Linked DNA regions of Danio rerio. The protein of the gene in region 2 purifies or fractionates together with the protein of the main gene of each other region. This does not show direct contact. Links are inferred from orthologs where the notes say so. Each region holds a gene or a part of one and is shown on either strand. Other genes may lie near its edges.

Evidence for each region.
Region 1: the proteins of apaf1 (region 2) and cycsb purify together in Homo sapiens (affinity purification with western blotting; 3 studies listed by BioGRID and IntAct, with this or other methods). This does not show direct contact. The link is inferred for Danio rerio from reciprocal best matches to the Homo sapiens genes APAF1 and CYCS.

What each region holds. Positions count from the first base shown.
Region 1 is NC_133181.1:11,868,493-11,872,429, forward strand, and holds cycsb (cytochrome c), read right to left. Parts: upstream 2,431-3,937; 5' UTR 2,356-2,430; intron 1,559-2,355; 5' UTR 1,553-1,558; coding exon 1,384-1,552; intron 1,308-1,383; coding exon 1,162-1,307; 3' UTR 751-1,161; downstream 1-750. UniProt on the Homo sapiens protein: Electron carrier protein. The oxidized form of the cytochrome c heme group can accept an electron from the heme group of the cytochrome c1 subunit of cytochrome reductase.
Region 2 is NC_133179.1:18,446,662-18,450,485, forward strand, and holds part of apaf1 (apoptotic protease-activating factor 1), read left to right. Parts: intron 1-14; coding exon 15-131; intron 132-820; coding exon 821-946; intron 947-1,896; coding exon 1,897-2,025; intron 2,026-2,996; coding exon 2,997-3,122; intron 3,123-3,771; coding exon 3,772-3,824. UniProt on the Homo sapiens protein: Oligomeric Apaf-1 mediates the cytochrome c-dependent autocatalytic activation of pro-caspase-9 (Apaf-3), leading to the activation of caspase-3 and apoptosis. This activation requires ATP. Isoform 6 is less effective in inducing apoptosis.

The DNA.
Region 1 (3,937 bases), on a different chromosome or scaffold from region 2:
GTCTCTGGCGTGTATTGCACGTATCTGCTTATAATGTTATAAAGTCCAATTAAAGCGAAAGCTGATAAGAACTGCTGGACTATGCAGTTTCTACGCAATCTGATTTGCATTTGATCCTCCTGATTTTACAGATAGGACATCTTCTCAACAGTACTCAAGTTGCATATGCCATTAAATTAAGTTATTACACATTAATGCATGCTTTCTTCTAAACTTTTACAATTATTATAGATTCATAATCCATAAGTTGGATGTAATATAGCTGAAAAAAAGAGGACAGTAAGAAACAAAAACATGTTAATTATTCAAACGCATAACTGAATTGGAGTGCACTTTAGTGTTATTGAATTTTGCAGTAATGTAATTCTTTAATGTTATTGTTTATGGCACTGCAATAGATGTTCAATTTCCTGATAAAATAATTGTACTCATCATTGAGGGACCAATACTTCCTTATCAGGCAGACTAGCTTTCTAAGACAATCATGAAAATCTTGATAAACATGCTGCCTCTATGTGGAAATTGTCAAGACTTGCCCTGAAATTACACAGAGGAGCACGAGAGCATACCTGACAATTTTTATACCCTGAGAGTTTAAAGGTCCCAGTACATGGAGTCATCTGCCGGTTTACTACATTAAAACTGAAGGTCAAAGAGTAATACTTTAAAATAAAAAGTGCACTTTATTGTTAGCTGCACAAGCAAGCATCAGAATATGAGAAACTAACAGAATAGACATACATTTGACTATTTTGACCGTTTTATTTGACAGTTCAAATCCATTTGATACAATGTTACCAATAAGCAAACTGATTTCCCAGTCGCTCATTCCAATCCAAATACTTACTAGGTTCAGCACATCTTAATAATTTAACGTACGACAGCTCCTGTGAAACCAGGGGACAGTTTTCATTCCCTCAGCGGAAACACTAGGGACCTGCAGTAACTTTACTCTTCCTTTAACCATACATGGACGAACAAAAAAGAAGAAAATCTTCACTGTTAAAATGGACCGGCTTTAGAAGCATGCCACATGTTATAATGAATAACCCTGGCCACGTGTTCAGTTACACCATATGAATAATAGTTAGTTAAAGACATTCAAATCCAAACTACAAACATTTAATTTAAATATTGCCGTTTCCTCGATCTCCAGCTGAATTATGATGTGGCCGACTTTAAGTATGCAATAAGATCTGCTCTCTCGCCCTTCTTCTTGATCCCGGCAAAGATCATCTTTGTGCCTGGAATGTATTTCTTTGGGTTCTCCAAATATTCCATCAAGGTATCTTCACCCCAGACAATGCCTGTGCAAAATAATAAGATTTGTTAAGCGAGTCCATCTCATCGTAAGAAAATGCGTATTCGCCAAATCAGCCTTACCTTTGCTCTTGTTAGCATCTGTATAGGAAAATCCCTCAGCCTGACCAGTCTTGCGACCGAAAAGACCCCAGAGATTTGGCCCCACTTTATGCTTGCCTCCATTTTCAACGGTGTGGCACTGGGCGCACTTCTGGACGAACACCTTCTTGCCCTTTTCAACGTCACCCATATTTACCTGGAAGTGAAATGAGAGGTGAACACACTGACACTTGAAAGGACATCATTAGAAGGTCATTCAAGGATGGAGCATCCTTTATCAGCTCAGGACACAAAACAAGCCCCAAAACAGCTTATGAGGTTAGACCTTCTCTCGTTATGAAGTAAATAATCTTAGCATTTTATAGATGGAGAAGCACGTTTCTCTGACAACTAATCCTTGGCGATTAGTACCTGTAAACATCTCGGCATCAAAGTGCTCATCCGAGGATAACCTTAAATCGCCTTCATTAAAGAAAGCCTTAATCACTGATGTGTGGCTCATTAGAGATCGCCCTGTGAGAACTAGCTTAAAATGAACAAGCAGCCGGATTAGAGTTTGTGTGACAAATCTCCTTTTAACTCGTCAGAATTGCCTGAGATAAGCAATGTTTATTTCAAAGAATTCAGCTGAAGTCGTAAACCGGCTTCAGATCCACGTTGCGGACGCTAGCAGTTAGCCACATCAGGCTAACCTCCTATTAAACCCACTCATTCTGTTGAGTTACTAAACAGAATGTGTGGGTTTTTATCAAAAACGCACAGTTCTCATATTTTAATATAATTAAAAGTAACACTACTTCATACCAAATCATATAATTCTTCCCTGGCGTTCAGTTGTTCTTGAGGAGTAATGTTACCGGTAAGCTTACGCAACCTTACGCCACCCTTCCAAGGAACCGCTATAAAAATCCTCCATTATGTATAAATTTCACATACATGACACAAAACGCCGAGCAGATCTCAACACTACGTGACAGATTCAAAAAATGTTACCTTTTAGACTGTGTAGGTAATTGTCGTTCTTGATAAGTACTCCTCTCTTGCCGGTCGGCGGACCGATTCTATATCAGGGCGAAAGAGAAAGGTCACTTCATTTTAGAGGCGCGAGCAGGCTCCGGTGTTTGACGTCACAATCATGCGCTGACTAAAGCGGTCACGTGCCTCTTCTTGACGAATCTGCTCACGGCGCAGCAGCTGTTCTGGAGATCCATCTATGGTGTTGTGACAGGCAGCGCTTTGAAAGAGATAATCGCTCTTAGATAAAAGGAGTTCAGAGTCTAGACGGTTTTTGTACATGCAGTAGCTATATAATTGTAGCATATAGTTCATTTTAGAATAAAGGGCACACAAAAAGACGTTTAACCTTGACGCATGCTTTCGAGATTATTTCCTAGGCTACTTTTTTTCTCTCAGGAAACATTTACCTTTATTTTAATTAATTGAATAAGGTGCAAATAATTAACGAGAAACTGAAACATATCAGTGACTATTATAACATCACAAAAGCATATTTTATAAATTACATTTATTTAACATTGAAAGTGTCATGTAGCGGCACGCAAGAACTGGTGTACCTCTTCTGTACACGCGTATGCTCTAATGTGACACTGACGTCGCGTCACATGAGCTTTTGGCAGCGTGTCAGGGATTTTTTATCACGTAGGCTATCCATTCACACGATTCTGGTTCGCGGGAAAATGTGCACGAGAAGTGCTGCTGTGAAGACTCGTTTTTCAGGTTTGTTGTTCATCTGGTGTTTCCCAGTCAATAACACCTGAAGGTAGCAGGTTGACTCATAAACGAAAGGTTATAAATGCTTTACTCTCATGTGACTGACAGGAATGACAAATGGTCTGGACAGATGTACATAACTGTACAGCTTTTCATGAAGATTAGCCTACCTGTTAGCGGTCTCTCAAGGAGAACTGCTTGATGAAGTGCTCCCTTTTCATTTGGAAACACACATATGAACAGGTTTTCTTAAATTCCAACACTAATATGTTTTAAAACTAGACACCAACATTACAAATGGCGCAGATTTAAATTTATTGAAGGTCTATACTGAATCTCCTTCTGACACGTGCCCAAAAAATCATTTGACCTTCTTGTTGCCATTGCAGTCTGTTGTCATTAATTCCTCATTTTGACCTCAAAGTGATTAATAAATCTTCCATAACTGGACCTTTAGATGAAAATGAAACCTAACCGGTTAGAGCCTTGAGGCTACAGAACACATTCAAAAGGGATTTGCCATTGTTGCATGTTACAAACTTCTATAAGGCAACTCTGACCAACAAGTTAAGACTGCACTGAGCCACCTCTAAATTCTGTCAAGGTGTGTGTGTGTGTGTGTGTGTGTGTGTGTGTGTGTGTGTGTGTGTTTGTGTTTACGACTATACAATTTTTTACTTTTACTGTTTGAATTTAATGAATGTTTTTTAGTTTTAATTCATGATACATTCAATTAGTTTTCCACCTTATTGTACATCTTTATATGCAAGTTCATACTTATTTATGCTGTTTTGAATATGGTTAAAGTGACAGAAATGCTAAAAATGAAAACTTTGTCATCATT
Region 2 (3,824 bases):
GTATGTTTGCACAGACAGGAAGGCTGAAAGTTCGACAGTTTCTGAAGACTGTTGGATGGAGAGCCTTGCAGCTGCTGAACATACAGCGTGATTTTGTGATGGCATTAGGGCTAGAGACAGGTACAGTGCAGGTATGGAGACTAACGGCATGTCTGAACGGCATTCACCCTGACAGCGCTTTTTATTTACAACGTCACAATTTAATTTAACCCACAGAAGTGTTAAATTAAAAACCTAAATGCAACTTCCCACAAAAAAAGTGGCACATTGGAACATCATGAAATCTTTGAGCACCAAATCGGCTTATTTCTGAAGTGAGTGTTGTCGTTAATGCTGACACAGTTATTTGTGTGTTCTGCACAGATTTATCCGTGACTTGTAAATCTGCATTTTGACAGCATTTGATCCCGCAGTGCCGCTCGCGCTAAACCAGAACAGCAGCCCGCAAGCGCAAATACCTCTTATTTACTCTCCAAAAACACAGCGCACGCTCCCGTGGCCCCAGGCAGCTTTTGAAGTTTGAGTTTTGAAGCTTCAGATGCAGCACCTTTCTGAATGGCAGACACACGAGCGTGCTCCCATAAAACACTTTTAATCATATTTGGAGGAATGTGGAACGAACTGCTCAAGTTTGAGATTATCGCTATAGATGGATGGCTATTATTAGCGCTTCCTGTATTTAAACGTTCAATGCAGTTCAGGATTTTGAGGTCTTTTAGATGCAAACTGTGTATTAAATTTGTTAAATGGTCATTTTATTTTTGTCTTGTTACCATTGCATTGGAACAGTGTTTAATATTGAATTTTTCTTTGTGTGAAGGTGATTGAGGTTCCTTCTTCAAAGGCATCAGTGAAGCTTTCAGGCCACACTAAGACTGTTCACCACTGCCAGTTCACTGACGACTGTGAAATCCTTATAACATCCTCAGAAGATTCCACTATCCGGGTAATTTCTTTCTCTTTTTTCTTTTTAGAACAGAGAGAGGAGAAAGTGATTTAAATGGCATTTTGCATTGTTTTCATTAGGATGTTGTTTTTTTGTTGGATGCTTTATTGTACAAGTTAGTTTTTGCATTATCGTCTGGCTGTGATGCGTTAAATGACACGTCCGCTGATTTGCAGGTGCAGTTTAGTAATTGCACCACATGCTCAAAGTTGTGCTGCAGCTGTTCTGAGAGTTGGAGAAGTTTTAGACACTGAATCATCACAAGCCTCGTTGATTCATTGTATTTTTGATGACAAGCAGTGGATGCGGGAGGGAGAGAAACACTTTAGTAATTGATGATTGTGAACAGCTGCATGCACATTGAAATTCTGCAAAAACAGAGGGTGATGAATGTTAATACGGTTTAAGAATTTTTGTAGTAGAATGCTCATCACAGACTGAAAGTCAGTATTTGAATACACAATGCATGGGCTTACAGGGGATGGGCCTATTATAACGTAGTAGTAGTATAAAATGTGACTTTTAAATGTAGAAAAAATGCTTCAAGGTTTGTTGACTGCTGCTGACTGGTTAATTAGTTTTGAAACAAAACAGTAATAGGCAAGCTGCAGATTCAGTTCAAAAGACACTGTAAACAAGGCCTTTTAAATTGACATCCTCCAGAAGTGCTGCGTAGGTCAGCAACCAAATTGCAAAATGAATTCAGAGATCTGAAAATGGAGTTCATTTTAAATGTGGAGTCCACATTTTAAAGCACTCGTTTAAAATGAAAATGAAACCAACATCAGCAAGTGCACTCATTTACGTAGGTTTCACGGTGCACCAAACAGAGGAAAACTTCTGAACCCACTTGGAAAAATACAGTAGTACTATATAGTAGTAAATATATATTTGTAAGTATTTGAATCTCAAAGCCTCAGTATTCACGGAAGATGTGTGTATGTCTGCAGGTGTGGAAGTGGAGGACCGGCGAGTGTATGGTGCTGCAGGGTCATATGGAGCCGGTCAGGAAGTTTCACCTCTTGAGCTCTTCATCTTCTCCTCGTCTGTTCTCATGGTCGTTTGATGGCACAGTTAAGGTAAACCATCTTTGCCTCATTCTCTGATTTCCAAAAAAAAATCTTTGCAGCATGTGGAGCTTGAAAGATGACGTCAAGACCTCATTTAGCTCCATTTCAATGGACTGCATTGCTTTTAGAGCAAAATCATGGTTATCGAGGCCAAACTTTGGACAGAAAGCAGAGCTAACAATGATAATTAGGTGATGCATGCAGTTAATTACTTGTAAAGAGGTTTTTAAAATCTCCCAAACAGACGTTTTGGTTTGTTCATGGCGATTGTAGTCAGGGATTTTGGGGGAAATTGGTGTGGGTCAAATCTTCATGTAAATATCAATAAATAGGGCTCAAACTTGACAAGTTTTTAACAGTTTATGGAAAGAGGATCTAAAGTTGGTTGATTTTAAAGATCTAGGTAAATTACAGTGAGTTTTCACTTTTAGTTGATATGAGGTTTAAATGTGCATGTGTGTTAATAGCAAAATAGAGTAGACTACCTTATGAGCATGCTGATGTAATGTTTATTGGTAAAATCCTTGTAAATGTGGCCAAGTCTTAAATATTAATTTTAGCTTATTGAATGTCATGTACATGTAACAAAAGTTAAGATGTTCCTTTTAAAGTTCTTGCATAATGGTGGAGAAAATCAAGAAGCATTTAGTCCAAATGAATTGAGTTTTCCTTGTATTAGGCAAACACTGCCGGTGGGAAAAGAAAAACAATCCTATTTCCAACCAAAAAAAAAACTTGCTTCATGATTTGTTTTTAGATCCTTTTCTTAGTTTGTCTCGTTTCTAGTAAAAGTGAGTAAAATTGTTATATTGTGAGGTTGTTTAACTGAAAATATCAAACTATGACGTGGCAACTATCTGTAATGTTAAGTTAGTAATTGAATTTTTAGATTGAACCATTTACATTTTTATATGGTTTAGATTGAATTGTGGGACGTTACACCATATTTTTATAAAGTGCCTTCTGCTTTTTGTTTGTAGGTCTGGGATTTGACCAGAGGGCAGATGCTGCAAGACCTCGTGTGTCATGAGGGTGCCGTCCTGTCATGTGATGTGTCCTCTGATGGACGCCTCTTTGCCACCACCTCAGCTAATAGGACTGCTAAGGTCAGAGAGAGCACAAAGCAAACAAGATATCCTTCACATTATTCTCTTCAGCTTCAGCTGCCTGTGTGTTTAGATCCTGGACTCTTACTGTGCGAACACCTGCTCCTGTTACACTGCTAGTTTTTGAACGCTCTGCTGGGTGAATATCTGGAGTGTCATTACTGAACCCAGGATGCTTGCGTGAATGACGGCATGTACAGCCAAACTCTGCTTAATTACCTCTGTGTGAGCAGTACAGAGCCTCCGTAATGCGCGCACATCTTCTGTTGGAGGTGTCCGAGGTCAGAGTCCAGTCCGCTCACACGAGTGTGTAATGAGATGAAGTTCACTCGCTCCATGTGACGCCGCCTTTACCAGAAGAGCTTTCTATAATGAGACGCCATGTTCTCGTCTGTCTGCCAGAACTTCTCAATCACAGAGTTATGGCAAAGCTGATCAGAGAATAATTCTTGCCAAATGGATCTGCCTCAGTTAATGACCAAAAAAAAACAGGCAAAAATGGAAAATTATTACCTAACCCTGTTGGTTTGGTATTATTAATCTCTGACTGACTATACAGTTTCTTTAAATTATTTAGCAGTGTTTTGTTTTTTGTTGTAATGCAGTAAAGGTTTTATAACTTTTTTATTTATTTATTTTTTTTCTCAAGGTGTGGAGCAGTGCCTCATGGAAAATGATATTTTTGTTGGAGGGACACAAGGA